Astyanax mexicanus: one gene and its partner. The protein of the gene in region 1 interacts with the protein of each later gene in a pairwise test. Links are inferred from orthologs where the notes say so. Each region holds a gene or a part of one and is shown in the gene's direction. Other genes may lie near its edges. The genes, in order: ppp1r12a and atxn10.

Evidence for each region.
Region 2: the proteins of ppp1r12a (region 1) and atxn10 interact in binary tests that used the Homo sapiens proteins (3 or more experiments, as listed by UniProt). The link is inferred for Astyanax mexicanus from reciprocal best matches to the Homo sapiens genes PPP1R12A and ATXN10.

Annotation. Positions count from the first base shown.
Region 1 is NC_064409.1:25,004,337-25,012,075, forward strand, and holds the start of ppp1r12a (protein phosphatase 1 regulatory subunit 12A), read left to right. Parts: upstream 1-4,179; 5' UTR 4,180-4,612; coding exon 4,613-4,849; intron 4,850-7,739. UniProt on the Homo sapiens protein: Key regulator of protein phosphatase 1C (PPP1C). Mediates binding to myosin. As part of the PPP1C complex, involved in dephosphorylation of PLK1. Capable of inhibiting HIF1AN-dependent suppression of HIF1A activity.
Region 2 is NC_064409.1:12,214,381-12,222,259, forward strand, and holds the start of atxn10 (ataxin-10), read left to right. Parts: upstream 1-4,407; 5' UTR 4,408-4,466; coding exon 4,467-4,579; intron 4,580-5,815; coding exon 5,816-6,007; intron 6,008-6,244; coding exon 6,245-6,330; intron 6,331-7,879. UniProt on the Homo sapiens protein: May play a role in the regulation of cytokinesis. May play a role in signaling by stimulating protein glycosylation. Induces neuritogenesis by activating the Ras-MAP kinase pathway and is necessary for the survival of cerebellar neurons.

The DNA of each region.
Region 1 (7,739 bases):
GTATTTATTTTTTATTAGATTAAGATTTTTTTTCTTTGGCATTGTGCTCGAAAAATCAAGAAAGCTTGTATGTAGGTCAGGAATTTGATAGGGCCCCCAAACAGAGTGGTTGGGATCATGCTGGTCTCATCTTACTATACAAGGGTCACTTGGTTATATCTGACTACGCCCAACAGAAAGTTATCTATTTTTGCTGGAATATGTAACTTTAAAACATTCATGCAGGGTTTTGATAGGCTTGCAATGTTCGATAGCTCCTAAAACTTCACAGGTCTACTGGTCCAATGCTGCATTTTTATGTATGCCAACATGTCTCATCAGCTCTATAGTGCTACCTTTATACTGATTGTAGATTTCGCATATTGCAAAGATCACTTGGGCCATTTTTTGACATGTTCGTTGCTGCAGAACCACAAGTCCAGAGGGTGGGCTGGATCTGATTCAACTCAGATCGGACCCTTGTCCTAACCCTAATTTTACCCCTTGGACTTTTGTTGGATAAGATCCAGTACCACCCCATGTATTTGTTGTTCTGCAGCAAGAGGTATTGGCATTTGTGGTTCTTATATCACACAACCACAAAAGTTGATTTGGCCCGACTATGGTTTGAATTTAGGTTTGATTCTGGTGCAAATCATCTGCTCACATCTAGGCTACATGTGCCAACACCCCGGTGGCCGAGACTAACATGGCAACCGTATCAAGAAGCTTTTGCCAACTCTTTAGCTGCGAAATGATATTCTGCCTAATTCTGCATGGCCAGTACCACGTCTCAACCAATGCGAAGAAACATCCGTCAAGCTCTGAATAATGCTATCTGGGTTGACACCTCAGGAATATTGGAACCTCACAAAAATAGTTTTTACAATAGTTTTTGATTTCATGATGAATCATGTATGGAGGCCTTGCTGTGAGTACTTTAATCCTGCCTTTGCCTTCTGTGGAGCGACATACTTTCCAGACTGCTGGTGTGATGATATAAAGGAGCATCACATACGAAAGTAGGTCACCCCTAGTACCGATGCAAGGGGCAGTAACAGCTCAGCAATATGTGCAGAACATCCTGCGGCCACATGTGTTTGATATCATGTCAGAACTTCCAATTTGCATTTTTCAGCAGGATAATGCTCACCCACATACAACAAGGATTTCCCAGGAATGTCTCCACCAGATTTCAGCACTTCCTTATCCTGCCCAGTCTTTAGATTGATCAAACCTGGAGTGTAGAGCATGATCTACCGGTCCAGCTGCAACATCTGTAACATGGGTAAATGTGCTGTAGGATGCCATACTGAACCTGTACACTGTTGCATGCCTCCATGCTCAACTGTATCTCATCTTGTATCCAAGCTAGAGGTTCAACAGGGTACTAGAGCCTCCTTTCAATTACAGTACAGTTTTAATTAACTTATCATTTTACTCTAATATATATGTATAACTATTACAGAGTGTAAAATAACAAAACACATTTAAGCTTTTGAACCACTAAGATTTTCCACACTTCATACTGATACACCCCCCCCCCACACACACACAGAAACCATAAGCTTAGCCAAGTGCTGATTCATGTGCTGAGTTTGCTGAAACCCATTACTGTAAGTTTACTCTCTCTGGGTGAGCTGGAGGCCGATCCAGACTGATGGATGGACTTCAAGGAAAGTTCAGAAGAAATAAAATCCTCCATCTAAAAAAGGAGAAGATAATAGAGTTTGAAATTAGATAGAACATCCAGACAGACTGAAATATAACTGTTTTTCTACCACTCACCTTTAGAGCCTATCTAGAACCTTGTTGGTGGTTAATCTGATAGTCTTTAGTTCTACCAGATAAGTCCTGACAAATGGCAGAGCTGTTTAAGATGAATCTGCCCAGATACTAGGGGTTAGACAAAAATGTATAGCTTCATTTTGTTTGCAATACATTGATACGTGGTGTCAAATATGGATATTTGTATGGAAACATAGCTGCTCTGAACTCTGTAAGACGCGCCCCTAACTATACTTACTAAAGTTACTGCCTCATTATTACTTCATTACATGGTGATGATGCTAATAAAATGGCAAATCTGCAGTGAAGAAACTCTGTAAAACCGACACAAAAAAATCCATAATTCTTGGTATTTTCTCTTGTAGGAGTATTTTAACCTTATCAGTAACACAGATGCTGTGAAATTTCGTAGAAAATTGACTTAAAATATCTCACAAGTATCACAGAATAACAGTATGGTGATATTATTTTTGTGGGCAGCACATTGTTATAATATCTTATCGTGAGATTCCCTGTGATTCCCACACCTGGCAGATACCACTGAGAGATCCTGATAGGACTATTTTCAATTAATTTAACCCTATAGTTTCAAGCAGAACTGAACACTGTAGAAAACTAGTACTCTACTACTGATAGTAATTTATTACTACTAGTGTACACGCCAGTTTCTAACACACAGAAATGAAAATACCCTGACATGCAAAAAGTCATTGGACAGCAGTGTACAAACTGACATTTAATGCAGGAGACCATGCCCATACATCCTGCAGGTCAGTGCAGTGTTCTTTAGCTTCAGTGGGACAGGGCAAAATTCAAAAACACAATACTAGTTCTTATTTCATAACCTTTGGCATTTCTAGACCAACAGAGTGTAGTGTGGACATAAAACCTGAGCCAAAATCTGGCGCCAACACCAGCACCATGCTACCAATCCAAAATACACACTTCACCTGGACCATGCAGCCGGACCACCCACCTGTGGATCAGAGCAACAGATTTAAAACAGTTCCCAGAAGATCCTACTTAAAAATACCCCAGACATAACTAGTATTCTAGTATTTATATATGTTTATATATATGTTATATATTTATATATGTTTAGAAATAAATATAAAATAAATTTTACATCAATACATTTTTTTCAAAACGGTTTTCCCTTCTTCCTTCTTTTTTATTTTATTTTCTCTCCAATTTGAAAGTCAAATTACCACTCATTAGGACTCTCCCTATCATTAGTAATGCCCCCAACATTAGAAGTTTAGGGAAGAGCGCATGCCTCCTCTGATATCACCTATTGTACCCACCCATTGGGGGCATGACCTACTGTACTCTCTCAGATTCCGGCTGCTGACCCGGGTGAAATCAAAATAATCAAATTAAGTCTGTTGAACAAAAATTCTTTAAAAAAATGACATTATACATTTTAGGATTGTCCATTTGTGTCAAGCTCTTGTCTTGCCAAAAGAATCACAGCATTGACCCAAGCAATAGTGATAAGACCAAGATTTGTTTTTTTTTATATGTTTTTAACATTCCAAATTATATATAGTCAGGTGAGAAGTTGACATGTGTTTCCTTTTTATTTTCTTCAACACACTACTCTGTCATAAATTCAAGAACAAATATACAAGTAACACCACAAAAACATAGCCAGGGGAGATAAAAAGACATCGCAAAATAAAAACAACAAAAATTACAAATCACACAAAGATTCCAAAAATAGGGCACAGGTTTTAAGTTTAAAGAGTTTTCTAATTACAAAAGAAAGACAAAGAAATTAAATTAAATTCCACATTAAAAAAACACAGAATAGGAGTCTAAACTTTCATACATTACACCCATATGCCAAGAAAATAATTAGATTAGAAGTTGATTAAAATCCTATAAATATTTAGCCACAGTCTTCATCATGTGTGGTCACAGAACCAAAATATTAATTTAAAGAAAGGTGATTCCAGTTGTAAATCACAAAGTGTACAGTTAATATTTATATACTTAAATCTTGATTTAACAAGGTAAATGTGGTGAATAAGCTTTTAGGAAGCCTCTTTGACTTTGTTTAATAATTGTCCTGTTTTTCCTGATAGTGTCAAGTGAAGCAGGCGGTGACGTCACGCTGCAGCTCCGCGTGTGGGAGAAAAGAGAGAAGGGAGACGGATGGGGCGGGGCGGGTCTTGTGACGTAAGCGCGATCTCGGCCGCCTCCGAGCTTAGCTATCTGGAGCCAAATATCGCGAGATGTGGCTCTTTGCTCCACCCTCGCCCTCAACACCCCCCCCTCCTCTCCCACGCCCCGCTGCGCTGTGGGATCGTGGCTGAGAGAGAGAGAGAGAGAGAGAGAGAGAGAGAGAGAGAGAGAGAGAGAGAGAGAGAGAGAGAGAGAGAGAGAGAGAGAGAGAGAGATTCTGTGTATGTATAAGAGAGAGACAGACACATACAGTGAGAAATATTGGAGAAATAAATATTGGGGAAATACACTGAGAAATGAGAGAGAGATACAGTGAGAAAAAATAGAGACTTACTGAGTAAGAGACTTTAAGCGAGAGTCTAAGTGAGTGAGTGAGTGTGTGAGAAAGAGAGAGACACACACACAGACAGATTTACTGAGAGAGAGAGAGAGAGAGAGAGAGAGACACACATACACACAGACTTACTGAGAGAGCGAGAGACACACACAGACAGACTGAGAGAGAGAGAGAGAGAGAGAGAGAGAGAGAGAGAGAGAGAGAGTCTCTCACACACACACACACACACGCACGGTTAACCCGCGGGCTGAGGACTGGAGGATTGAGACTCACACGGAGGGAGAGCGCACCGGCTCCGGGGGGGGTTAGTGCTGTGTTGTGATGAAGATGGCCGACGCTAAGCAGAAGCGGAATGAGCAGCTGAAGCGCTGGCTAGGCTCGGAAACCGACCTGGAGCCGCCGGTTCTGAAGAAGAAGAAGACTAAGGTGAAGTTCGACGACGGCGCGGTGTTCCTGGCGGCCTGCTCCAGCGGGGACACCGAGGAGGTGCTGCGGCTGCTCGACCGCGGCGCGGACATCAACTACGCCAATGTGGACGGCCTGACCGCCCTGCACCAGGTCCCAGCCTCCTTCCTCCTCTCTACTGCGGGTTTTCTGTTTTCTATAGCTTTAACATTAGCGCCAGAGGCCTTCTGAATGCTTTTTACACACCCCAGAATCTGCCGGAGCACTTTTTAATTCGGATTTCTGCTCTAAAACCCGGTGTTTTTACACTACGTTAAGGCCAGAGCAAACTAACGTAACGCTAACCTAGCTAACGTTAACGAGCTAAAACTGAAGCTTGCGACAATTTAGTTGAACTAACGTTAGCTAGATCAGTTATTTTATCTGATTAATATATACCTAAGTAGAATTAAATCTGACTCATTGAGTTAAATAATCATAATAGTCAGCCTTAGCAAGGTCCACTACATAAGAGCTAGCTTTACTAGCTAGCTTAGGTGAGTCAACCAACTTGCCAAAAAATACTTGCTGTTGTAGTTTGCTCTTGTCTCAACGTTGAAGCTTGGACAGTTAACATTGACCTTATAAACTATCATTGTACATTTATTAGCAAATTCTTCTGAGAAAAAAAAACCCAAAACAAATAAACTTAAAAACCAGAGTTTATCCAGATGTGAGATCGCTTTAAATAATCATATCTGCAGCCACAACACTTCCATAATGTCTAAGTACAACTTTTATCAGCTCCTTTCCCTTTTCTAAATATTTTTTTACGTTAACACCAACCTTAAACTCATTCTGAATGCTTTTGTACAGACCCCAAAATCCGATGAAATACTTTCTAATACCTGTGCTTTTACACTACGTTAAGACCAGAGCTAACTAACCTAGCTAGCGTTAGCTAAAACTCAAGCTTGCCTTGAAGCTTTTGACAATTTACCTAGCGTTAGTTATCTAGTTAACTTTGCATTATATTAGTTATCTATATAACTATGTATCAGTTATTTGTTTTATAAACCAGTTACACCAGAAATATTCTGAATCTGAATCCTAGTTCTCGATTGTCAAAATTGTCTTACTTGATTAGCTAAAGCACATCACAGTTAACATTGCTTTGGTCTCAGCCTTGAGTTAACTCGTAGCTCACATTTATCAGCTAACTTACTTTCTCTGATAAACCAAATAAACCAGAGTCAGTCGAGATGCTCGGCTTTGGATTATAAACTTATTCATAAGTCTAACAAAATAAGACTTTCAGAATGCCTAAAAATCGTATTTAGCAGGTTAGTTAAATTAAACCTTGAATGTATTGTTTTTTCTGATCAACCAGATAAACAAAATAAACCACTGTCAACCCAGATGTGTGAATGATGTGTGATTATAATACTCATTAGCCAGATCCAAAACACACTCCAAATGCCTAAAATCATTGTTTAAACATTGAACCTTATCTAGCTAATAAACTTCCAACTAATATTTGTCAGAGCTCTTTTCTCTGTTACACCAACTAATCACCAATAATACAGAATTACCAACAATATTAGAATTGTGGACTCCTCTTAGATGGCTTTAAACTCCTGAAATGTCTAAACATTCTTTGACAGGGTGTTTACATTGAAGATTATAATCGGTGATATTTATCACCCCATTAATAGAAATAATCAAATTAGTGCAAATGTATATGATCAGTTATCACAATAAGCCCCAAAACAGTTTCATGAAACCTAAACATTCTTATGTTTGCAGTTTGCTCTGTCCTCCACATAAAACCTTGTAGGTTAGTTAGATAAAAGTTTGTAGGTTAGTTAATTTATACTTTATATATCAGCTCCTCTCTCTAATAAAGCAAATGAGTTAATCCAGAGTTTATAATATTCACATTCACATCCAGAAAACTGCAGCATTGCCTAAAATCCTTGTTTTTGCAGTGTGCCCTGGCCTTAGCTTTACCCTTTGCTTCATTAGTTAGCTAGCACTCCCTGCAAGGCGAAACAGAACGACACAATGACTAAAAACTAGCTCATTGTACTTATTTGCACGCTTCTAATGAATTAATTCGGTTTACAACAAACGAATTCGTTTATTTTTTTCTATAAAGGTGTTGTTGTGATCTGGAGTAATGTGAGATTAGCTAGTATTAACATTAGCTGTCTTTGCGTTGTAAGCTTGCATTTAACTAGTTTACAGTTAGCATGTATCAGATTTTTCTTTGGTTTATCAGATGGGGTAATTAACCTGAGATAATCAAAGTGTGAAAACGTTCCTGATCATAGTTCTTATTCCAATCGGACCAAGAGCACTCTCAGAAATGATTAAAAACTCTTGTTTTTTCAGTTCTGCTCTGGCGTTCACCTCAGACTTGTCCTAGCTTTACTGTTCGCTTCATTAGCGTCAGAGGTGGCTAGCGTTAGCGCACCCTGCTAGGCAAAACAGACCCCGAAAATGACCCAAACCTAGTGAATTGAACCGATTTTAATTACCACAATGAATGAATTCGTTGTATAACATACTAAAGTACTATTTTAAGTCTTCAAATGTCGATATAATTTGGGGCAAATGTCTGTTTTGTGCTGTTTTAAATCTAGCGCTAGCCTAGCAGGGTTGCTAGCTACGTTGGCAAGCTAACTGATACAAATCCCTCCAACATATAGCTAGCTAGTTAACTGTAATGCAGCTTGGTTTTGGCGTGGAAAAAAAACTCAAATTATGCTCCAATTTGTACTAATGGTTTATTGTATGGAATAACAAGATAATGGAAGTTAAATCATGCCTTAGGAATTGCTGATATCTTATTTGTACTCTGAAGCTGTATTAAATGTAGATTTCATAGATTTTTTTCACTTCGACTTATGATTGCATTTAGATAATATGCAGATAGGTAATTTTAGTATGAATTATTTATATAAGGATGGTCAGATTTTGTGTTGCTTGTATGTTTTGAGATATGAGCAACACTGTGCTTTAAATCCAGGGTGTGTTTCAGTCTGGTTAAAAATGGCAGTGC
Region 2 (7,879 bases), about 13 Mb from region 1:
GTCCTGATGCTGGAAAACGTAACTGAAACTCCAGTACAAAGCTGTACTCCAGCGAAGTGGCTTTACTGCTTCTTACAACCTGACTGGTAAAGATCATATAACATAAGTCACACCGGAGGGTGCACTGACAATTTTTGGGAAAATTGGCCTATATAACCTAAAACTATGTTGAGACGTATTTGTGTCAAATTCTATATTAAATTATATTATGCTTCATTGTCAGTTTTTTTTTTCACTTCTGTATCCTTTAGCTTGTGAACAAATGCATGTGTACAGCTGTTTATGTGGGTGAAATAATAGTGTAATATGTATTTACAATAGTGGAGTTATAAAGAGCCCATTTACATCCAGTATTCTTTACATCTGACCCGTGTGCTGTAATAAGATTTTTACTATTTTAGTAAACGTCATAATGTGTGATTGCATCTCACAAACAGTCTAAATGTTGGTCTTCCTAAACAAGGCTGCACATGGATCTTTAAAACAATACATTTAAAGGTATATTGGTATCTTGGAGCTGATGGGGTGCATTATTTGTAAAATTATAGGATTGTTTTATTGCACTAAAAATTATGCGTTTTTGGATACCACAACAGAAAATCCCAGGGGTAGTGCACATTTAGTGAATAGGTCATAGTTTCACATACACTCTGATCACTTAATGCATCCTGATTATTCAGCTTATATCTATATAAGGCCAAGTGGATTAATAATTTCCACACAATATGTTCAATTACATATGCTGATATATGATTAATATATTTTTGATAAAGCTTTTCCACTGGAGCTACAAGGCTACTGTAGCTAACAACCTATTCTGTTAACTCTCACAAACCATGCCTGGATCACACAGACTTGTCAGTCTAGTTTAGCTGACAGCATGATTAACTGTAAACTATAAGTATGAACATATAATAGCTCACCAGTAATTAACAAACACTAAAATCCAACAGTCACCCATATTTTGTGCATGCTTCCCTCAAACTGTGTCCAGGTCTTTATAAAGGAGCATTGAGGACAGCCAAATAAAGAAAATATTACTATGTAGCACTTTCCAAAATGGCAGTACCCAGTGTTCCTTATTGAACAACTGAATGTGGTTTTAGTGGGTTAAGAGAAGCCTGGCAAAATGTTAATGACTGTTTAAGTGTTTGGTTAATATTAGCATCATGGCTCCAGCACTAAACTAGAGAAACATATTTTGGACACCAAATGTGTCTGGAATTATGTAAGAAAGCAGAAAGGTTTACTTGCAAAAGTATTTCTTTAAGCAAGTTTTGCTGTAAATCATTATTATTTACAACATTATTAATCATCAAAATAAAAATGTTTAATAATGTTATAACAATAATTTGTTGAGGCATTACTAAACCATTTAACGATGGTTATTACTGTTTTAAGTACTGTTTGACCCTTTTTGTAAAGTGTTACAACATTTCTAACATATTAAGCAGTAAAATTAACAAACAACAGCTAGAAGATGAAGATTATTTAAATCTTTCAGTGTTTTTTAGTGTTTTGGGCTTTGGGTTTGCAATTTTTCAGTCTGCATGTTTTCAGTCTGTTTTAACTCAGGCACAGACTAAATATTATACAGATATAATCAGATTTTTTAACTTTTTAGACCTTTTTCTGATTTTTAAAAATCATAGTATGTTGTTTACATGACCAATCATCAGATAAATGCAGTAATCATTTTTGAGTGCATGTAAATACACTCATTGTTAAAGGCACAGTATTTTAAATTGCCTGTTTAGTTCTAGCGGTTACAGAGTGTTTGTGTTAATGGTTTTGTAGTATACATGAATTCTTACTGCTGTTGTTGCATAAATCTGTTGTAAGTGGACCTCTGGGAAAACAGTAAAACACAGGCAAATCTGTTAACTTCTCACTCAGCTATTAAAGTTCCAGAGATTTTGGCCAGTAAATTTAGGAATACTTTTGTTGTGTGTTACTATGTAGACAGCCCTGAATAGATCTCCCTGGTTGAAAACACGTCACATTAACTGGGTGCTTCTCTCCACCTAATACCATTTGTAAGGCAAATGGAGAGTTTGTTGAAGAGACAGACATTTCTAGTGGCAGTCTGATTGCAATTTGGCGACGTGTGAGCTCAAATGTCACAAGTGTTCCTCTAAGAAAAGGAGCGCTGACAGGGAATATAAACACTGGGATATTTGTTCCTTAGCAATCGCTCCTTTGCTACAATAGGGCTTCTTAGAAAAATCCTCTGGCACCCAGTCACACTCCAGTTTCCCCCCAGTGAATCGGGGTCAGATGCAAGAGTGATTAGGGAGAGTTTAGGTTGGAGAATGCTGGGAACAACGGAGACAAAAGCCAGATGTGATTTTTCTAGAAAGGAGGCAGAGATCCCCCATGTCAAATAAGAGTGTTTGGCTCTTAAGAGAGTAACACCTATCAGCTGCTCTGTGTGTCTCGGGGCCTGCAGAACATTGTTAGAGTAAGATGACCTTTGCAGCTTTTGTCTCACTGTTTGAGTTGATGTGTAATTACATCACATGGCAGATGACTGAGCTAATGGGCCTTCAGGGTGTAAGTCTCTGACCTCACTGATTCAATTTGATTGTCATTCAAACACATCTGTGGGTCAGATAGATCAGATTATTTTGTGCAATTAACAAATGCAATACAACAACTGACCACTATCATACAGTGGAAATGTCTATTGGTGACAGATGAATCAGTGTTCCAGGTATTTTTTGGAAGAAATGCATGCTGTGTGCTCCAGACTGGTAAAAGTAACATTAAGTCCAAAGTCCAGTATCTGTCATGATATGGGGGTGTGTCAGTACACATCTATGATGCTGCACTAATGTAGAAAAATACATCTTCCAGAGATGTCCATGTATGTTTTCACAAGACCATGGCAACTACATGCTGCACACATAACAAAGTCATGACTGGAAGAACCATTATTGATACCATTATTGGCCTGTCTGCCGTTCTGACTGCAGAATTTAAAAATTAAAAAACATGATAGTGACAGTCCCACACTTCAGCACTCTTGCTTTACTGTCCCAGGCCTGACGTTATGTAATTTCCAATGGCTGTCCCAGCCTTTTCTGATTTGGGGTAATACTTATTAGGATGGATTTTCTCCTTCAGACTTTGGTCCCTTAGTGTTTACAAACTTATTTCTTCCAGTAATCATCGATTTACTACACATTCCTTCCCTCTGCCCAAGAGCAGAATATTTTCAGCTTGTGCATAAGCCATTAAGTAGATGCTTTCAGTTTGCCTCCTTCTCAAATGATTAGTGAGTCTATCTTAGGGCTTGGTTGCTACAGTACACCATCTGTGTATTAGCTGTGGGCCCACCCTAGCCAGAGGATAGCTGCCTGATACGCAGCCACCTGTAATTATATTCTTCAGCCTCAACCAACTTCCTCTGCTGCATTTCCTAGACCAGAGAAAACATGAGATGGACCACAGACCAGGGAGCCAGGGATCAAAAATAGTCCAGCACTCATGAAAATTCAAAAGAGAACACTGGCCTTTGTTGTTGCAGCTGGAACACTTGTCTCCGCAACTTGTTTGGGGAAAAAATGAAGCCATTGATCTCAAAGCCTTGGGAACAGTTGATTCAGATGAATGAATGTCAGATGGCCTGGTTTCTAATGGTGGTGGTGGTGATGTCGTCCTTAAAGTAGTAGGCTGAGAATGTGATGTCATGGAGTAATACTGATGTAACAGCAGAACTACTTGTACAGTTGTAGTAAATTCAACTTAATTAATTTAACTACATTTAATTACTCATATATTTTTTATATTTAAATAAAAAAAATATATAAATAATTTTGAGCATGGCATAATTGTTATCCCAACACTTAATTCACACTTCATTTTAAATTCATCTAGTAGTGAAGACCTTGTAGAATTTAATATCTGTGAGGTGTGGAAACAAAACTAATTAATATGAAATGAATTAATATAATCAACTTTAACACTAATGTCCCAACAGTTGCAGCATTTAATAATTCATTTTTAACATTTGTTATTTTTAAATCATCTAAATAATTTCAAATATGACTGAGAAAATAAGAACAAAAAACAATCGTAAGCTATTTACTCTGCTCACAACAGAAACATATAGATGTGCAAAACTCAATTAAGTTGATTATTAGTATACGTTAATTATCTATATTAATGATTTTTCAGTGACTGTGAAAGTAAACAATTTCTAAAAAATGTACAATTATACAGTAGGAAAAATTGCTTTATGAGACCTGTGTAGCCTGTGTAGTCTTAGGTGTGGATAAAGATTTCATAAAAAACGTTTACTTTTTAACATGTATCTCATGTGTCAGTTCGGGGAAACGGTCCACATACAGTTAATAACTTATTTTAGTGGACTTTTATTTTGATATGTGGATTTTCTCTCTCTCTGTGTTGCTGCTGGGGTTGTTGTAGCGGCTCGCAGTCCCTGTGGCTGTGTGACAGAAAGCATGTGGAGCCTGAAGTCTGTGAACCTGGAGGATTTACTTGCAGACAGGTTAAATCTGCAGCTCCTCGCTGTCCTGCAGGCCGCGACCAACAATTTCCGAGATGAAGAGCTCAGGTTCGGGCAGAGCGAACACGCAGTACCGCGGTGCTGCTAGCGGTTAGCTAACATTAACTAGCTGCTGCTGAGGCTGTGACAGGCTACTCCACACACTCTCACAACAAACTGTATTAAAACCTAATTACAATGAAAATAAGTAATATTTGGTCATTAATAAACCGTAATATAGTTTAGTAGTTTATAACTTCGTTTTGCTAAAGATTAAAAAAAAGTTATTTAATTAAAGTTAACCTCAATTAGAGAGTTGGTTACCTAACAAGTTTGTAAGTAGCTAGGTTTTCTACTCAAATGATTGATACACAAGAAATAAATTATAATTTAGCTAGAGTTTAGGTCTACGTTTAGGTGTGTCACAATCATTTTTTTAATATAAAATATAATATGCCGTTCCAGAAATTGTCATTTTAAGACCAATAAATGCCACTAACATAATGATAATATAATAGCATTAAAAAGCAATAAAACCCTTTAAAAAGACAACTTAATTTGTAATTAATCATAGTTTGGGAAATATATACTCTTTTCTCCATCTACTACAGTCCACTCTGTGTGTAGGGAGTCACATTTATGGAAATATTTGTCATTAGACTGACTTTGATACTGTTCACTTTTACATATGTCAACAAACACACAAATAAACATAGAAACATATATAAAAATAGATTTTATAAGCATTTTCAATTATTATTGAGGACACTTATTGTACAATACATTGATAATGTAATTAATGTGACATTGTAAGTTATAGGAAAAAGTTCAGTTAATTTACATGTGTTTATACTGTATACCAGTGCTGATATCCACATTTACAATTAACAGAGAGACTGGACACACCAATATAACTTTTGGAACAAATGTAACATGTTTTTGCCTTACATTTTACCTTTTAACAAACTGTATTAAAACAATATAATGAAAATTTTTGTTATTTTTCACTTAAATAGTCTGGCCACAGCCTTTTTGTAATTATGAGCTTCAGGAAAGCTAACACATTGGTGCATATAACATTATAATACTATTTTTTATTTGTTCACATAATATGTATGTCCAGAAGCTTTGCTTATTATTTTCTCAAAAAGTCCTGCATGTACAGAGTACCTTGTTGTCTGCTATTACAGAGATTGCTACTCATAGATTATATTAAACACACAAACACTTCATCTGTTGCTCCATCCTGACTTGTGCTGCTGGCTGATTACTAATCTAATCGTAACCAATGTTTTGTGTTCACAGATTCAATGTCGAGGTGGATGTCCTTGAGAGACTGTCTGCAGTGCTGTCCAGGCTCTCAGAGGAGATTCAGGTTTTAAGTGACGTGAATGATGAACAGCAGTCCGCTTTGCTGTGTCTTCAGCTTACGGCCGAATGTTTCAGAGCTCAACGAAATGCCTGTGTGCAGTGTTCCCGCAACCAGTGTTTTTTAAGGTAGCTTACTGGTGGTGCTGGGTACTATGTCTGTATAAAATTGTTAGTATTGTAATATTGTGCCTGCAAAACCTGTTATCATACAGTGTGCCTATACCATTTGTGTGGAAATGGTTTGGTTTGGATGGTTAACTCTCTGAAGAGTACAGTTCACATTTTGTGGTAAAAACATTGTCATTTACAATCTCAAAACAATACAGTCCAATGTAGTTACTATATTTTTCTCTTTTTCTGTAGAGATCAAGGCTGTATCCAGGTATCATTAGAGATTTTGAGAAAGCTTCTCAAGCTTGCTTCTGGAGTCTCAGATTACCTTTTTGATGGTAAGTCTCTTTACCTAAAGCTTAAATCAAAGGGGCCAAATTCTGGTCAATGTGAAGAACCACACAGAGTTTAGATCAAGGGCGGTAAATTTATTTGAGGGAACATGTCCAGTCCAATGTCAAGTGTGCATGTTTTTTTTTTTTTTTTTCTAAAAAAAATGAGGTAACAGGTACAAAAAAGTGTGGCAGAAAGTAAATTCACACTGGGTGGGTTTCAGATTATATCTATATTCAAAATGCTGTGTAGGCATGTTTCTGACTAAATATCCAATGCATCTTTGCTCATTTTATCCTTAAACCTTGTTACAACAATCGGCAGCCATAGGCTCATCTGTGTAGGAATTTAAATAATTGATGCATACAAAGCTGGAGAAGGCTTAAAGAGGATAGGAAAGCTTTTTAGTTAGTCAGTTCCTCAGATCATAAATGTAATAAAGAAATTGCAGTTAACAGAAATTATGGAGGTCGAACTGAGATCTGGTCCAAGATAACCTTCCAAACAAACTGTTCATAGTTTTGTTAGAGAGGCCAATCAAAATCCATCTTGGACTCCAAAAATCCTTTAGGAATGATTTATCGGACCTTTATGGTAGGACTGCATATTGGCATGAACTTGGCAATATAATACTATTATGATACTGGGCTTACAATTCAATATAATGCAGTACTGTAATCAATGTGATATTGCAATTGTTTAAATGCAGTTGTTGCAATTGTTTAAACTGTACAGTTTATTTTCAAAATCTGAATAAAGGAAAAGTCTAATTTTATGCAGTTATAACAGTGGGATTTAGACAGTGGGACAGAGTACAACACTGCTATCTAGCGATCGTGGTGTAAACAGTGCAGGGAAAAAATGTCACCAGTTTTTAAATGTAAGTAATCATTTCAGTCATTTCCGTGTTTTAAATATTAATTCAGTGATGCAAAACAAAATATTGAGATTTTAATTAAACTGGTACTATTAAGTACTAAATCACATCAAAATCAGCCAAAATTAGGTTCATGTGTAACACACAGCCAGTGCAGTGGTAGGCTTAAATGATCTCAAGTGTGGTCTTTCTTTGCACATAATGGTGCAGTTTCTCAGGGATTAAGCCTAGTCTTGAACTACACAGCATTTTAATTATAGATTTTCATTTAAAAGCAAATAAAGTCTTAGAATAGGCTTCATCTTTCTGTGAAACTGAACTTGTGTGTTTGCTTTGGGCTGATACTTTGTGTCTGTGAGTTAGTGCTTCACTGTCCTTGCCGCTTTGACTCCTATATATTTAGAAGCACATCATATCAGAGACACACATTACAATGTGTTCAAATTATGCTTTAGTGACTGACTGGTGGTTTTAGGGCCTGGTACCAGTATTAGTTTAAATGTGAACAGTACTCAACTCTAGTAACAGATATTTTGAACAGAGGTGCCCACAGTTTTGCACACAACTGTGTAAAAATATACATAAAAAATAATGGAAATCAAAATTAGTCCATAATGTTCCTATCATTGTATATCTAATCTTGAACCTTGCTTGTCTAGATCAGTAGCATGTTGTAT